2 linked regions of the Alligator mississippiensis genome follow. The protein of the gene in region 1 binds, or shares a complex with, the protein of each later gene. Links are inferred from orthologs where the notes say so. Each region holds a gene or a part of one and is shown in the gene's direction. Other genes may lie near its edges.

Region 1 (8,603 bases):
AGCCTGGGGGCACGTGCTCATCATGCCTTCCCCAGGGGTGCATGCATGTGCATGGTAGGGAGTCCCCGCCTCATCCCCACTCCCCTGCGCCCCCTGGACGAGCCACCCATGGCTTGTCCTGTGCCCCACCCCGGCTGGGCAGTGCCTACCCCAGCCCCACTTCCTCCTTCACTGTGGGGGCCTCAATCTGCACCCCCATGCTGGTTCCCTCCCTCATGCTCCTTCCCTCCACAGACTTACTGGCCGGATTCTGGTCTCCAAGCTGCCAGTCTGCATTCCTGGCCACAAGCATGCTGCGACTGCGCACATGCACATGGCATTATCAGCTACATCGGCCAAAAAAACCCAATTGTCGATAATGTCAAGATTTCCAAATTAAAGTTAATTCCAGCAACTTTGTTATAAGGGGCCACCTGTCATCTTATCTGCATTAGTTGCTTTTTACTTTGCAGCACTGGCCAATCAAAGCACAGCTGCCTAATGTTACCTTAGCATTGTGTATTAAAAATTACACATGTGGCTCCACAACCAAAACAGCAGACCCTTGAACCTACTGGGTTACCCTGACCAGTGAAGATGTTTGGGCATTCATGCCTACCTGTGTTGCTTAAAGACATTACTGTTTAGAATAACTGTGACTTTTAAAGGTCCTTAATAAATTCTAAATTTTAATTTAAAACTAGAATAACAAATTTAAAGAAGACTTTTTACTTTGTTGAAAAAACAAATATTCTTTTGTGCTTACTTATTATTTTTAGCCAAATTATAGGATTTTTAAATCAGAAAATCAACTGAATGTCTTACCTACCCCTCAGGAACATTTAGCACAATATTGCTGATATAAAGGTTCTTTTTACTGTTTTGAATATTGGGGAACCATGTATGACTTATGAATTCTGGTCGATAATATTATGGAGTTATGAAATAGTTGTATATTTGGAGTGTCCTTGTGAATGCTTATCCCACCTTGCTGATGAGGCTTCTAATGTGTCATTCCCATACCAGGAGACAGTCATTTGATAAATCTAAATGGTGGTTTACTTAAGTCAAAACAGCTCAGTATTGAAGTGTGAGCAGGTGGAACAAATGTGGTTCCTACCCAGAAAAAAAAGTTAATTTTGTTTGTTTGCAGGGAGCTAGAGTTTTAAGATTGAAAAATGAGCAAACAGAATGAAGTAGTCAGTTAGATGGTAAGGGGATATATGAAAAGTAATACAGGAGGCTTGGGGCAAGAAACAGGAAATCTTATGCATGGACAGGCTTTTACAGCAAAGGAAGCCTGTAGGACCAATTAGAAAGGCAAGCTGGGCTAGAAAGATTCTGTAGTTTAGGAATATATCTTGAGCTATACAGAAAGGTTGTAGTCCACCCCAAAGAACTTGACCCTAGACCAAAAACGCTCCTGAATGATGAGGAAGCTAAGACAAAAAATGCTGTCAGGGTTTATTTTTCTTTCTTAGATCTGGGTCTTTTTTTGCTGTTAAGTAAAGAGCAATAATATGTTTAGAAACTGTGCAAAGCATGTGCATAGGTTGCCAACTCAAGAAATCATTTTTAACTGACAATCTGCAAGGTTTTTACTGGCAGTCAAACTGTTCTACTGATGTATATTTTACAAAATGTAACTCTTGTGCAAGGCCCTGTCCTGCTGCCAGGCCTCAGTTAGAATGCTGGGTTCAGATTTAGCAGTTTAAAATCAACCTTGATAAAGAAGTTTGGTCTGTAAAAAGTTTGCAGTAAAAAAAAACAAACTTTGTGGGTCAGTTGTCCTGCTTCACTGCAGTGATTTTTACACTGTGCTTCCCTCACCCCTTGCCAGAGGTCCCCTGCTCACCCCACACCCTGATAACCCCAACTGCACCCTGCATCATGCTGCCCCCCTACCACCCAGCCTTATACCTGCCAGCCCTGCTCCCTTGTTCTGGCACAGATGCCTAAAGAAGCGTATCTGCAATGCAGCAGCATTACAGGCAGCCTGGGAAGCAGCTGCAGCATATTGCTAAGAGAGCAGTCCCTGCAGGGTGTTGTGCTTCTCCTTGAACACCAGGTGGCACTGCTCTGATCCAGCTGTCAGAACTTCAGTCAGTTTCCAGCTGCTTAGTGTTTTTACTGCTGGCTAACGCTTTTTTATGGACTTCACTGGCACCCACTTTCAGACTGATTTTTTTTTTTTATTGACAGTTAGCAATCCTGATGTGTACATGCATCTGTTGCATGCTTCTGAGGAATTAAAGCTATAAAGTAAAAAGGCGCTCACATCTGTGGTGGGGAGTTCTGGGAGGCTTCATATTTAAGCTACAGGCAAGTCTGAAGGGTTCCAGCTAGGGTTCTGTCTCACAAGGGCATCTAAACCAGTGGAGCTCAACCTCTTTACCTGGTGGGTTTAATGGGCAGCGCCCAGTCCAGCTGTGGGCCGGATCCATCTGGTGGTCCCAATCTGGCACCTGGGGCTGGCGTGGTGGGACCGCATCCGGCCACACAGAGGGGGCAGTTGCATTGCGGGGGGAGGGGGGACTGCCACGGCCCTGCGGTGGCAGGGGAGGGAGCTTGGCCTGGCCCCACAGGGCAGGAGGGGGCATGACCCGGCTCCAATCCACTGCATAGGGCTTGGTTTGGGAATTTTGCAGCAGAGGTGCATGGCAGTATGAATTGTCAGTGCTTCCCTACTGCCAAATTTCCCAACCTGTGAGGTCCTGCGGGCACGATATCCTAGCTCCATGGGCAGAGGTTGAGCACCCCTGATTTAAAGGGAAGATCTGCTCTCTGATTATATGCCCAGATACTCCAAGATAGTGGTAGTACTTGAACTGTTTTCTGACTCCAGAGGTTTGAAGCATACTGTGGCCAGTAAAAAGGGCAACTGCTACCTGCTATCTAGCCAAAATATAATTTCTTGCTTTGCCCATGTAGTATCCAAATCTTTCAATTTTCATTTTAAATTGGGGTGTAAGTGCCTTGGATGAGAGACTTAAATTTAAAAACAGCCTTATCAGGGAATATTTGGATCTTTTTTCCTTCAGAATATAATGAGTAATACAGATATGTTCTACTTTGTAGTGGGCCTGTATTTAATTGTCTCATTGAAATTCCCAACAAATAAAAGCTCCAGCTAGAAATGTCTATGCTGAGACTCTTTTTCGGGCCAGACGAAGCTAATAGTTGCCGGCTGTGCTTTTGTCTGTCCTTATTAATCCAGGTACTGCTACTGCTTCTAATTTTCTTCTGAACCTTTGAAATCCAAAGAAATCCAAATCCTATCATTTCAGACAGCATATAACAATAGGATTTTCTGGCACACTTGTAATAGAAAACTTTATTTCTAAATCTGTTGTGCAGAAAGAGCACGGTAAAAATGTTCTGGACAAAAAGATGTGGTTTTGGCTAATAGGCAAAAATGTTTACTGGTAAATTATTTATCACCCTAAGTGAAGAATGTGCACTGTTCTGTTGTAAATCAATTTTAAAGTATACAGATCTGCCACTAAGTCCATATTGCTATAAATACTTACTCACCTGACTTTCTATTGTTTCAGATAAGAAGTTTGGTTACATTTTGGGGGATGGCTGGAGAATTTTATTTTCATGTGGAAGGTGATCAGCACAGCAGTTAACAGTCTGCAAAACTGTACACAGATGCTTAATGCAAAATAAGTTCAGTACAGTGTCCTTGGCACTAAAATTAGCTTATTCCACTTCCAACTACGGTATATAAGCCCCTCATTTAAGACTTCAGAATACATTGCACATTGCAGGACATGTAGGGCTTATTTAATTTTTCAGACTTTCTTTTAAGAAGAGAGTTTTTTGCTTAGGAGGGATGGGTTTGCTCTAAAAAAATCTTACTACCTTCAGTGAGGTTAGTATCTGTATTAGTGGTGAGATTTGTATTTCATCTTCATTGAGAGAGAAGCTTGATATGGCTCAAGAATTACTTGACTCCTTGTGGGGTCTGACAACTGTGAAATGAAATCAGAGACTCACTTTGCCATTTTGCATATGCTACCAAAATACTGGTTAATCAATTTTGGCCCTTGCTAACCTCTGCTGGACATAAACTTGTGGATTGGAGAGGAATGCTTCGTACCCTTTGCTAAACCCCAGTTATTTTCTGGACTCTTCAGCTGGCAGTGAATAATTTAAATTAGTTTTCTGATATTTTACCAGGTCTTAACCCATGTGTTCAGGTAAAAAGAATTTTAAGGCTAAAAATGCACATGGAAAAAAAAATCCTTACCTGTGCCAGCAGCATTGTAAACATTCTTGATAACTTCTCTTTTGTTTGCCAATTTTTCCTTTTCCTTTTCAAAGTCCAAACAAAGCAGAATAGAAGTAGTAAAAAAGTAACCATTTTCATTTTCTGGTTCTCAGGGCCTAGACTTGCTCCAGTTTTCTTGTTGCAGTTCCTGCAGAACAATGAATAAATCTAAGTAGATGTTCATCTGAAATTAAGAAAAAATCCCAAATACATTGATTTTAATATTCTATTTAGTAAAGATTTATAAAAACCTACATCTTAAGTGACAACTTCCTGATAATATATGAATTGTATATTTAATCTCATTGGCAATGTATCCACCAGAAAGCAAGGAAGAGCTGTTGAATTAGATGGATCATGGCATAGAGGAAGCTCAAGTATAAACTTTTCTTTGTGCCAAAATATCATTGATTTTAATGACCAAGGTTAGATATGTGACAAGATTTAATTACATATGTGGCCTGATTGATGCAGTTAATTCCTTTCTTTTCCAGTTAATTAATTTTTCTTAATTACTAAACCAAAAGTAATTACTTAAGAAAAGTTTTGGTCCTTTTATAAGTAGCTGTCTCTTCAAATGAGACTATATTTAAAGTGAGTGGGTCCACTGTTGAACCTCTCCTGAACTCTTATAGCACATGTAGTTACTGTGTAACTTTATTCAGAGAGTCCATGGTAGTTATCTTTCTTGATCTTTTTATTTCCCAGAAGTTATTGTCTCGAAGCCTGATATAATCTACCGTGCACATCCCTTTCTTTAGTATTCTGCAGGAGAACATCATCCATTCTTCAGGTGGAAGGATGAATGGCTGTGGTTCACTCAGGTCAGTCTATGCTGCACAGTTAACCTTGGCTTATACCCAGATATTAACTTTAATGCTCTCCTACCATCCTCAGCTTACCCAACTGGGAGCTGAGGGAAAACTCAGGCTCCACTTGGAACCTGACACTTTGCAATGGCAGACCAATTCCCATGCAACAGACACCATTGACTGGAAAATAATGTGTGTCTCAGAAAAAAGAACCATGGAACATGCCTCAAACTTTCAACAAGCACAGACACAGTAGGGACACAGCTACAAAGGTAGGTATGGTGAAGATGCTTGAACTGAAGCTAAGCTAACCATTTAGATTAACTGGACGTTATAGACTTGGTTTTAGCAGTTGTCACTACAGAATTTTCATGATATGGGACTCTGAGGTAGAAAAACTTGGGTGCAGTCTTCTAGGCTAGGAACAGAAGTTACACACACACTGGTTTAAGTGATCAGAAACCAGTTTAAACCTGTAACAGAACAGACATTCAGTGCACATAAATCACTTTCAAAATGGCCAAAACTGCAAACTTAACTGATTTAGGTCAAACTGGTTTACAGAACTTCTGTCCCAGACCTCTTCCTGGTTGAAATTAAATCCCATTCCCCCAGCGTCCCAGGATGTTCTGCAGCCCTGGGCTGTGCTGCCTGCACCAGTGGAGCAGGGTTGGCTCCACCCATCTCCTCCCTAGTCAGAGCATTATCACTGCTCCAGGTGGTTGAGAAGGGGGTGAGGGTGGGAAACACTGCTCTGGAGTACCCCCTTTGGCAGGAGTGGGGAGTGTGGCCTGAGGGGAAAGTGGGGGTTTAATTCTCCCTCCTTCCCATCTTCCACCAGTGTGGGATCCCAGCTGGGGTTTGCCTGGCTCTCCCTCTGCCCCCTCACCCCCAGGCTCAAGCAGTGAGAGTGGGGGCATAGCCAGACCCCGGCCCCAGGCCTGAGATGAAGGGGGGAGGAATCCCAGAGAAGTGAGGCTGGCAGGGACCTCCAGAGGTCCTCTAGTGTCTGGTCTAGCCCCTGCCTGAGCCCTGGCCAGACCCTCCCATACAAGCACAGTCTAAAGAGCAGAGGGTTTGCTCGCAGAGCCCACAACTGAGAACACCCACTGGGGGAGCACTCTGTACTGCTGGGGAGAAAAGCCACTGAGAGCGTCCTGTAGCCAGTCTTTCCCTTTTGCCCCACAGTGGGACCTAGTATTGTGCCCCTCCGGTCCTGAGCCCTAGGCAGTGCCACACATAGAGGCCCCCCCCTCCTCCCCAGCCCTGTGGTGGGGGGGGGGAGGAGGAAGAAGAGGAGAGCCCTGCCCGCTGCAGCAGCTCCATGACAACCCAGTCCAGCCTGGGCATGGGGCACCAGGATTAATCCAGGTGCACAGCTCCCACAGCCCCAGCCCAAGCTGCAGCCAGCTGGGCCCAGCCCCTCCATGCCCACCCTCAGCAATGCCTGCAGGCTGGCCCAGCTCAGCCCCACAGTTCCAGTCTCAGCCCCAGACAAGGTGGGTGGATGGCGGGGCCAGGCTGAGCCATGCCACAGGGGCAGGGACCTTCTTATCTGGCTGCAGCTTGGGCTGGGGCCATGGAAGCTGTGTGCCCAGATTGCTCCCAGGTCCCCGCGCCCTGCGCCCAGGCCAGCCTGGGATGTCATGGAGCCACTGCAGCAGGCAGGCAGGGCTCTCGCTCTCCTTCTCCTGCTCTGCAGGGCTGCGGGGTGAGGGGGGCTCTATGTGGCACTGCCTTGGGACTCAGGCTGGAGGAGCACAGTACTGGGCCCCACTGTGGGGTGGGGTGGGGTGGGGTGAGGAGGGCACCAGTCACAGGAAGCCTTTGGTGGCTTTTTTCCCCAGCAGTTAAGAGCCCTTCTGGTGGGTGTTTTCGGTTGTAAGTGCTGCAAGAAAACCTTCCACTCTTTAGATTGTGCTTATATAGGAGGGTCTGGTCAGGGCTCAGACAGGGACTGGACTAGACACTAGAGGACCTCTGGAGGTTCCTGCCAGCCATGCTTCTCTGTGATTTCCCCCCTCCTTGCCCCACTTCGTGTCAGGCCCGGGGCTGGGGTCAGGCTCTTGCTGCTCAACCCTTTGGTGCCAGCCAGGGGCAGGGTCTAGCAATGCTCCACACCCCCTCCTCCCACCAAAAAAGCCTGCTGCTCCCCGCTTCTCCCTCCAGGCACTCCATGGTTGGGAGTTTAAACCCCTCCCTAATCATACTCAGCACCTGCTGGGGCCTGGCCAAGCCCTCCCACCTCAGCTCAGCTTCCCTCCAGCCTTCTGGACACTGCAGAAGGGAAGGGAGGACTTGCTGTAGTGCCCCCCTGGCTTCTAGCCTGAGCCACTGCAGGCATGTGGCTGCATTTCTGGAATCAAAAGTGAATGTCTGTTCACTTGTTTCTTGGTTTAATCTATGTAGCTTAGACTAACCTGCAAAGACTGAATCAATTCATGCTCAGGATTTTTGAATGTCTATACTCAGCCCTATTCTAATAAGCCAGGGGTTTTCAACTTTTTTGGATCAGCTGCTGTGTGCAAACTTCCCCTGCCCCCCAACATCTGGCTGGGTGGGTGACACCTGCATGGTAGTGCAGAATAGTACGTGGCGGCGCTCTGTCCCTACCCGCCTATGCATACCCCCTAGAGCCTTTTCAAGTACCCCCAGGGGTACGCATGCCCCTTGTTGACAACCCCTGTCATGCTCAAAGCATGCTAATTTATGTGCATTGACAGTCATGTTATAGGAATATGGATAAGATTTCTGGGGGAATATTTATTGGTTTTTAGTGTTGTTTTAAGCTGTGGCACTCTACAGTTCACCACATTAATTTAAATACCACACATACCTTTCCCTCAAAAATCAGCTCTCCAAAACTGGGTTATATGTCTTATAAGTGGGGAAGTGGATTTCCTTTGCCTGAATAGAAGCATGGTGCTGTGAAATGGCTGCTAATGGTCTCTCAGCAAGCAGGGATAGAAGCCAGTGTTAACTTTTCTCTGCTGATTTCATATTGGCAGTGGTTTCCGACTGCTTATTTGGGTGTGTGCAGTATGTGAAAAAATACAGTATTTTACAGCCAATTATGGGAAAACGTGTCTATCCTTCTGAAGCTCCTGTGCAGAAATGTTTTTAGCTCACTAACACAGTAAATCAGTGGTCACCAACCAGTGGATTTCGATCCACCGGTAGAACTTGGAGCCTCTTGTGGTAGATCTCAGAGCCTCTTGGAGTTGATCCAAGACTGGGGTGGGGGGCTAAGCGCCCGCAAGCATGCATGCATGTGCGCACCCCAGGCCAGCAGGTCAATCCGTGGGGGAGGGAGGGAATGGGGGCTAGATCGAGCCCCTGCAGTGAGGGACCGTGCCACAGAGGCAGGAGGAGGGGTAAGTTGAGTGGGGCATTGGCCCGGTGGGACTTACCTACTGGGGAAGTATGCCCCCAAATAATTTTTTCTCCCTCTGCCTTGATCTCCCCACCTTCCCTCCCCCTAGACTTACCTGCTGGGCGGGGAAGGGGCGGGAGAGTGGCAACGGCACACAGTAGAT
Region 2 (8,655 bases), on another chromosome or scaffold:
CAGTGGCATGCCGGGTAAAACCTGTACAAATATGCCACTGCACAGTGATATTAGGCTACTGCATAGATAACATCTGTAAAAACTTGTGCGCTGGTGCTACTGCACAGTAGCACCAGTTACTGTGCATTGATTTAGTACTTGGTTATCCAAATACAAAACTTAATGAGTGGGAACTAAGGTGGATTAATGAACATGTAAACGCACCCACTGATTGTTTCTTCCTGAAGTAGGAATAACTTAAGTCTATGGACCACTGCCAAGTCAGGGACACAAGTTTAAACATATCACAAACCAAGACTCAACTGCCCATATCTCTATGGCAATACCTGGCAGTATCCATTGTGCAGCTCCTCTCTCCGCTCTCCGAAGGAGTTGACTAGGATGGACAAATTCTGACCCAAGTTTTCTCTTCCAGGTATGAGTTTTCTGGCAAGAGTCTGTGCAAAAGACTTGCTCAGATTTGGCCTTATAATTGTGCCATGTAGAGCATTACATGCTATTCTCTCTTAAACAGTCTTAATCAACCATAACAATGGCTTTATGGATACCATTAAGAGAGACAAACTTTACTGGCATTGGTGAAAAATTCCTGGAAAAAATGATTGCCTGACATCTTAAAGAGTAAGAGGAGAAAAAACCGAGCAAGGTTTAAAATAACAGGTCTACCTGATTCTCTTTTCACTTCTATGTGTTTTTACACCGGTGTAACTCTATTGACTTCACTGGAGTTACTCCTGACTTGCACCTCAGTAAATAAAGAATTAGGCCCAGTATTTCTTGATAAACATCACAGATGCAAAGAGGTTACAAGGAAGGAAGCTTTAACACTGCAAAGTGATAATTGATTTCAAAAGTCATATATTAAAGGTGAGTATAAAGGGTGGCAGTTCAGAAAGTAATTAAGGCCCAGTTAAAATCTACACAAACATTGCATCTGATCTACTCTTTCCTGGAGGCATTTACTTCAGTATCTATTCTTTCCCGAAGGAATTTTTTCTTCAGTCAAAACCAGATTTCAGCTGGACAAGGAACATTGGAAAGCTTAAAATAAGCCACTAATAAAATCGCTAAAACGTTTAAAAGCTTCCCTACCCTTGAATAATGCACACTAGCACTCTGGATATTTGAAAAGGATAAAAATAGCCAAGATCTCAAATAAGTCCTATTCCCGAATCACCATGTGAAATGATGAAGGCAAATTATAGTTATTTATATCGCGTGTGCCAACACAGACACCTAAGCCGTAACGGTGTTTATAGGGCAATATACTACACATACATGCAAACGTGTGTGCGTGTGTGTAACGGCATATATGCATATGTATACTTATACACACCTGCGCCAAAATCCACTGAAGTCAACCTGAAGCCTGATTTTCAGTGGTCCTGTAATGCCAGTTTAATGGGCGTACCCCTCCCTCTGCATGTCAGGGTCAGGATGGCCACCTGGATGTGGGTCCATGCCTGTGTGTCTTTGCTCAGCTCCTCTCCAGTGTGTCACACTGACACACAACCCCGGGGGAGCCAGGCAGCGGCAGGGAAGGCCAGGCCTGCCGCAGGCCCAGATCTCCGCAGCGGTGGGTTACAGAAAGGCTGGAGCTGCCCAAGGGCAGTGACAGCTGCAGGACAAATCCTCCCTCCGCCGAAGACCCTGGGAGCTGTGCCCGTGCCTGGGGAGCTCGGGGCGGTCCGGGGCAGGGGCAGGGGGCGCAGCCGGGGCCCCGGGCAGAGGAGCGGCCGCTGCGCCCGCGCGGGAGCCGCAGTGCGGGGCGGAGCCGGCGCCCGCCCGCCGCGGGGAGGGACGTGCCGGGGAGCGGTGCTGGGGCCGCAGCCTCCTCCCGGGGCGCCGGGCTCCGCGCAAGCAAAGCAGCCGAGCCAGCGACCGCGGCGCCGGGGTCCCGCACGCAGGGAGTCCCCAGGGCCTGGGGCACGGGCGGGCACAGGCCCCGGGCAGGGAGGGGCAGGGCTCCCGCGGGGGCCGCGGCTCCGTGACCTTCGAGCCGGGGGCAGGGGCAGGCGCAGGGCGCTGTCACGCGGGGCCGAGAGGAGAAGCCCAGAGAGCTTCAGGGTTTCGGAGACGACTGGACGCAACATTGATTTTTTTTTTTCTTCTTGTAAGCCAGGAGGGAGCCACGAATCCCTCTGCAGAGAGCAGCAGGGCGAGCCGGGGATGCTGCTGCTGCTGGTGGTGGTGGTGGTGGTGAAACGCCACGTGCGAGGGGCACCCGCAGCCCCGCGCGCCCGGGCACGCAGCGGCCCGGCAGGCCGGGCGGGGGCACGCACGTGTGCCCGGCGCTTGAAGGCCGGCGTCTGTCCAGGAGCGGTGGTGGGAAGGGGGCAGGACACCCCACAGCGGTCCCAGCGGGGGGGCAGGCAGCACTTCTCACCGGGGCATCAGGGCTGAAGTGAGGGGAGCCTGTCCCCGCCGCCCCCACGGAAATGCCCCCGGTGTGCCCCGGCCAGCGCTGCCCTGGCTCCTCCGAGTGCCGCTGGGAGCCCTGCACTGGCTGAAACTGACCAGACCCACCCCGAAAACACAGCTCTGCTTTCTTTCACGTCTAATTTGATCGCAGGCTGATTTTAAGCTTCCCATCGTTACAACTTTTCTTGATTTCTCTCTCCCCCCCCCCCACCTCCCCCTGCATTTATTACTCGCATTTAATTAATTCCTTCTTTGCGTTTCCTTCCCTGTTAATCTTTGGGTGACTGCTTTGTACATATGGCAATCTGATAATGAGGGAGTTTGTCCTTGTTCTCTAGACTTCTTCATGGCAATGTCCACGCGCTCACTAACTGGGGTATTGATCATCTTCCCTTTGGGGGTGGGGCAGGAGGGGTAATAAAAGATTTGCAAGATCCCCCGCCATTTGAAATAGGTTGTTTTTTTATACCCTGGCACTATTTAATCAACTGTTACATCAACTCATGCTGTTTAAGGCAACCACATCAAAAGAGCATACACTCTTTTGTATAAATTATATATTCCTTGAACCTGTCTTCTCACACGCACACACAAAGAGAGGACTTAGTTTTTAGGAAAAGATGGTGCCAAGAAGCTCTTTGGCCCTGATATCACTTGTTTCTTAAACTCACTCAGCGCTCGGGAAGGAAATCTCGAACTTTTCAGCTCCTTCGCAGCTTCTAAGTTTGGAGTTGGGCAAAGAAAATCACTGAAATCTTAAAAACAGCAGCAAGGCAAGAAGTCGACTTCACCGACAGTCGAAGGCGGGCAGACAATTCTGGATCAAGTTCATTCGGCTTCTTTCTTTGTAAAGTTTGCCTAAAAGGAAAAAGCATCCCAGCTAGGTCCCTGCCACTCCGCGTGTCCTGCCACTGCCACCCTGCTCCCTTACACAACCCTGTTTACTACTTCAACACTGTTTTTTAAAATCCACGACTTCTTTTTAAAAGTCCAGTAGTTACTTAACAGTTGTGGAAAACTCTTCCATTGCTGCTTGTCCCACAAAGTTTGTCTTGTTGAATAAAGAGGACTCCCCCGCACCTTTTCGGACAAGGGGAACTCTTGAATTACGCCAACAAGCCGTCTAGGTTTTTAAAGAAGTCTTTTAAAAAAATTCTTCAAAGTTTCTAAATTCTTGGATAAATTGTATTTTCTTTGGAGCAAAAGCATCTGAGCTTTTTACAGGAGCAGGAGTGTTTGTTCTTATGGGACTCTGCTTTTCTGTCTAACCTGCTCTATCAGCCCCATCTCTCTGCAATTTTGCTCGTCTTTCAACACCTTTGTCTGATTAGTAGCTTTTGGAGATGGGGATAAAGACATCACTTGCCACGCTGCATGAGATAACAATTAATTTAACATTAAACTTATCCCCTTTCCATTCACTTGGCTCGGATCGATCTCTGGTAATTGTGTTTGCGGATGCTTTCAACACCTTGCTTTTCTTCAAAACTTAATGACACCCCACAAGGAGGTATAAGGGGCTGAAATGCACTTTTCCCAGCTAGACCAAAGAAACAAAGACCGGAGCCCCAACTTGCTCGGGACACCAAACCTAGGCTGCAGTTTTGAACCAGGTCGCTGCTGCTTTCTTCCTTCACGTCCAATATTTTCTGAAGACTACTGTAATAAAGTGCCCCTCACGAGCAGTTGTGTCCTGTAAAAGTCACACACCAGGAACTTTATAAAACTGCCAATTTTATATCAAAATGACTTTTCTGCCCCTCTTCTAATCCAGTCACTTAACTGCTGGGAAGACAAGTGTGGTTTAAAAAAAAAAAAAGTTGCATTGCTTTCATGAGAGTGCAGTATTGTAACTCAATGGGGAAAAAAAGACTGATTCCCAGGCACTTAGGTGGGTTCCTTATGAAATGGGCTTGTCATTTTGCCCCTGGAAAAAAAATGTTTTTTTGCAACGTGGTGTGATAGCCAAGGCGTTGTTTTATATTGCTTTAAACTGCCCTTGAAAATTTGACTAGCAGGGAGACAGCCTGATCATCTTCTCTCCCTGTTTCACGGGGGCATTTGTTACTGTTGCTGACATATGTACCATTCTGCCAAGAAAGTTAAAAAAAACCCCCAAAAAAACAGCATGTAATTGATGTTATCCCAAGAAAGCGCAGTCTCCACCCCTTTCAGCTCCAAGCCCTTCAGGTAAAAGAAAAAAAAATCTTTCAAGAATTTGTTGCCTTTTTGAGGGTTAATACATCAGAAGACAAGCTGTCTCGCCTTGGCCAATCAGGACTCGGCCCTGGCAGCTATAATATAGAACTAAGGCAGACTCCTCTCACAAGCGTCTCTAGCCTTGCTACCATTAAAATCAGACCCTTTTTGTCTCCCGATTGCTGTCTCACGACCCAACTCCGATGTGTTCCGTTATCAGCGACCTAGAGCCTGCCATTCCAGCACCTGTCTTGCTAGGGATCGGTGGATAGCATACGATTCAGAAAGCAGACAAGGACATAGGAAGAGAGCTATCTAGAGAGACAGCCAGGGATAGCCACAGAAAGCTGGGAAGTAATTGGATTCAATGGACGAAATGCTGCTGTTGACAAGAATTCTCTTGGTGGGCTTCATCTGCGCTCTTTTGGTCTCCTCGGGGCTGCCTTGTGGACCGGGCAGGGGGATTGGAAAAAGGAGACACCCCAAAAAACTGACCCCTTTAGCCTATAAGCAGTATATCCCCAATGTGGCAGAGAAGACCCTAGGGGCCAGTGGAAGATATGAAGGGAAGATCATAAGAAACTCCGAGAGATTTAAAGAACTAACCCCAAATTACAACCCTGACATTATTTTTAAGGATGAAGAGAACACTGGAGCTGACAGACTGATGACTCAGGTAGAGCCACATAGATGCATATATATTTGTTTGTTAACATATCTGAGCAATGATAAATGAAGCATCTGTCTTGGTATTTTTGAAAGACATCCCCTCCCCCAACACTCACCCGGGGAGGTGCCTTCTTAAATGTAAGCCTACATCTTTATAGCCCGATAAGTTTGCAGAGGGAAGCTGCCTATTGCTAGACATGTGTTGGGCTTTGATGTGATACTTGCCCTTAGAACCGGGCCATGGCGTCCCCTGTAACTTGGGTAGAGATTTCTGTTTGCATTTGTCCCCAAGGCTGCACTTTGATCAAACGAATTGCATACGGCTCGGAGGACCCCAAGTGTATGGTGACCGCCAGGCCACTCATTCATTATTACAAATGCAGCCCTGGCTCGGTGCAGCGCCTGGCTTGATTTTGATGCTGTTATTATTTGCCCTTCCTTATTTTTCCTTGCAAGCCCATTCTAAATTTAGCAGCTATGGAAACCTCGCACTCACAAAAGCAGCTGAAGCAGAATCGACCATGCCTCTCCTGTTCCTGCATTATATGGCTTGTATTGCAATCCCATCATTTGCAATTGTGCCCATCAGAGCGTAAATATATTGATATTTCTTTAAGGATGCTCTGGTACTTCCAGAGGGGAGGGACTTGCAACTTATCAGCATTGCATCACTTGTGGGGTTTTTTTTTTTAAAATGAGCTAGCACAAGGTTTACAACTGGGTAAATGTTCCACCTCGGCTGGAATCAGAATGCGGAACCATTTTATGCAAAAAAAAAAAAAAAAATAGCCCTCAGACAGTCCCATGCTGTTGTTCATGGGAAATGGGGGAAGCCAGTGGGTCCATGGGTGCTGGAGTTTGGAAAGTGCAGCTGGCATCTAGACACTGGGAATGGGTTTCCTCCAAATATAGGTCAACAGCGAGGTTTTGCTAGGGGGGGGGTGGATTTTTAAAAAAAAAATGTTTTTGCACTGTTGATATATTTAAGACCCACCTTCGGTGCTGCCATAGCCCTCGCCCTGCAGCAGCGCGCCGGGGTGGGAGGGATGCCCGCAACTTTGCCCTCGCCCCTGGCCCGGTTTCCTGCGGGGGCTGGGGCGAGGGACCGGTCTCCGCCGCGATCTCTCCCGACCACCTTAAATCTCACTGTACCTCTGAGTGTCGACGCGCGCCTCTGCCAGGGAGAAGCGCGAGCCTCAATTAAATATGCAGAGGCCACGGCGCGGAGGGTGTCGTGCCGCGGGTCCCCGGGCCCGCTCCGCACCGGCTTTCATCTCGGCCCCTAATGCGCGGGGGGGGCGGCCCGGGGAGATCCGGCTCGGTCCCCTGTCACAGCCCTGGCTGCAGCGCTGTAAGACAAGGGTAGCTGTGCGGCAAGTCAGGCACGTCTCGCATTTTCAGCTCCACTTACTCCTCTGTTATCGATCGCAACGGCTAGGATTTCAGCTCGTATCCTTTTTAATACGGCTTGGGCAGAGACGTGCGTGTGTGAGTGTGTGTGAGTGTGTGTGTGTGCGCACACGGGCGCGTCATGCCTGCGCATGTGTGTCGAGGTGCACACACACATGTCGGTGCAGGCGGGGGACCCCCGAGGCCGGGCAGACGTGGGGGGCGGCGGGGGCAGCGCCTCGCTCCCCGGCGGCGGGCTGCGGCCGCCCTTCCCTGGGAATACGCAGCTTCCTACACGGCTTGCCACTCTCGCTGCATTAGCTGGCAGCGTTTGAACTTCTGACCTTCTGTCAACTTCCCTCAGCCGAACCAAACGAAAACAAACACTTTTTCCTCCAGTGCCTATCCCGGCTCCTAGCACCCCCGCCGGCGGGGGGCCGCCGCGGAGGTGCCGGGGCTCCCCAGGGCCCGCGGGGGGCTCCCTGGCACTGCGGTCCCACCCCCGGCCTGGCCAAGCCCCGGCTCCCCCTCTCCCAGTCTTGCTCTGCTCAGTGCAAGCCTTTCAGCCATGGCAAGATCTTCCCTGAATGGAATAGTTAAACTTTCCGAGCAGCCGCTGAATGCATTAGCTGCGGGTTAATATTAACTGAGGAGGGGGGCAGCGCAAACAGAGCTCGGCAGGGCAGGTTCTCAACTTCGCAGGTGACAGGAGCAGCCTGCTGAATGCCCCCCTGCCCCTGGCCTCCCCCCCACCCCGGCAGCCATTGGCTGGATCTGGGGCAGAGATAAGGAGGCCAGGTCAGTATGATAAAGCTGGAATTTGTATGAAATAAAATAGCAATCTCGGGTAATACAGGTACACAGCCGGGGCGGGCTGGGAGGAATGCGGAGTTCAGGCCGGCATTTAGGAAGCCCACCAGGCTGTTTGCACTGACAGGTACCTGCTAAGTGTTTCCTTCAAGCCGGGCGTTTGTGCAGAGATTAGGAGCTGGCAGGAGAGGGGCTTGTTGAACAACTTCGCCTCCACACAAAGCGGCGGTCGAGGCTGCCCTGCTGAGCTTCACGGTGGCTGAACAGAATTGGGCTTGATTTGTGGCACACGACCCACTGAATTAATAAAGAGCCTGGGCTTCACGGCTTTTGACTCTGACAATCCCGCTCAGGCGGTGTACAAGGAAGGAGAGCCCTTTACTAGGTCCTGCCTCCCTCTTCATCCGGCCAGGGAGACCTGAGGGGGGGCACGGAGCAGCCCTGCGCCTCTTGCAGATTTGTTTTCTTGGTTATAAAGCGCCGTGGCTCGAGGCTGCTGGGCAGGGAAGGGCTTTCTGCTCGTCCGCGGGCTCAGGCGCTTAATGTTTCACCTTTAGCGGTGGGAGCAGGCACGCCCGGCCGGCGGGCGAGGGGGGCACTGCCAGCCCACTTCCTCATGGCTCCCTGCCCTCCCAGACGGGCACCGCATTGCTGCACAGGGCAAACACGCGGCTCGTCCCATAAAATGTCTAAGTCATAGCACAATAGGCCCCGGAGTCCAAAGGGAACGAACTCATGTTATATGGAGCTACTATAAACGTGTGGCTCGGGTATCTGTTTTATGGCTCTGATACACACGTTGGACTTCCCTGTTGAGCAATCCCTGCACGTCCCTAAAAGCAGTGCGGGAGGAATAATGCAAGGGTGTTTCCCCCCCCTTCTGGGAGCGGTGAAAAGAGCCTTTGTGGTGTGTTGTTTTACCTAGTGGTAACGTGTTGGGAGAGTTGTCCTGGAGAAGGCCAAACATCTCTCTCTACTCACACCCAGCAAAGAGGCAGCCACCTGGTGCACGTGGGCTTCTGCTTTCCTCCTTGATTGCAAGGGAAGCTTTTGACGGCCTCATTCGGGAGATCCCTAGGGGGGCAGCCCGTGTTGTGTCCAGCCCTACCTGGCCAGGCCCCAGGGAAGGAGGGGGGCAGACCTGGTGCAGGCGAGCCATGGGCATCT

Evidence for each region.
Region 2: the proteins of DISP1 (region 1) and SHH are in contact, whole or in part, in a cryo-EM structure (PDB 7E2I), measured with the Homo sapiens proteins. The link is inferred for Alligator mississippiensis from reciprocal best matches to the Homo sapiens genes DISP1 and SHH. Residues at the interface, in NP_001356523.1 of Homo sapiens: Lys242, Thr244, Gly245, Tyr246, Lys247, Ala248, Glu260, His265, Arg299, Phe336, Gly337, Asp338, Leu339, Cys340, Gln341, Arg342, Thr343, Glu459, Arg899, His904, Asp906; in NP_000184.1 of Homo sapiens: Pro49, Asn50, Val51, Thr55, Leu56, Gly57, Ala58, Arg68, Glu71, Phe73, Lys74, Leu76, Thr77, Pro78, Tyr80, Pro82, Arg96, Leu97, Gln100, Lys186.

Annotation. Positions count from the first base shown.
Region 1 is NC_081824.1:182,113,994-182,122,596, reverse strand, and holds the start of DISP1 (protein dispatched homolog 1), read left to right. Parts: upstream 1-5,041; 5' UTR 5,042-5,056; coding exon 5,057-5,079; intron 5,080-8,603. UniProt on the Homo sapiens protein: Functions in hedgehog (Hh) signaling. Regulates the release and extracellular accumulation of cholesterol-modified hedgehog proteins and is hence required for effective production of the Hh signal. Synergizes with SCUBE2 to cause an increase in SHH secretion.
Region 2 is NC_081828.1:203,989,970-203,998,624, forward strand, and holds the start of SHH (sonic hedgehog protein), read left to right. Parts: upstream 1-4,705; 5' UTR 4,706-4,987; coding exon 4,988-5,296; intron 5,297-8,655.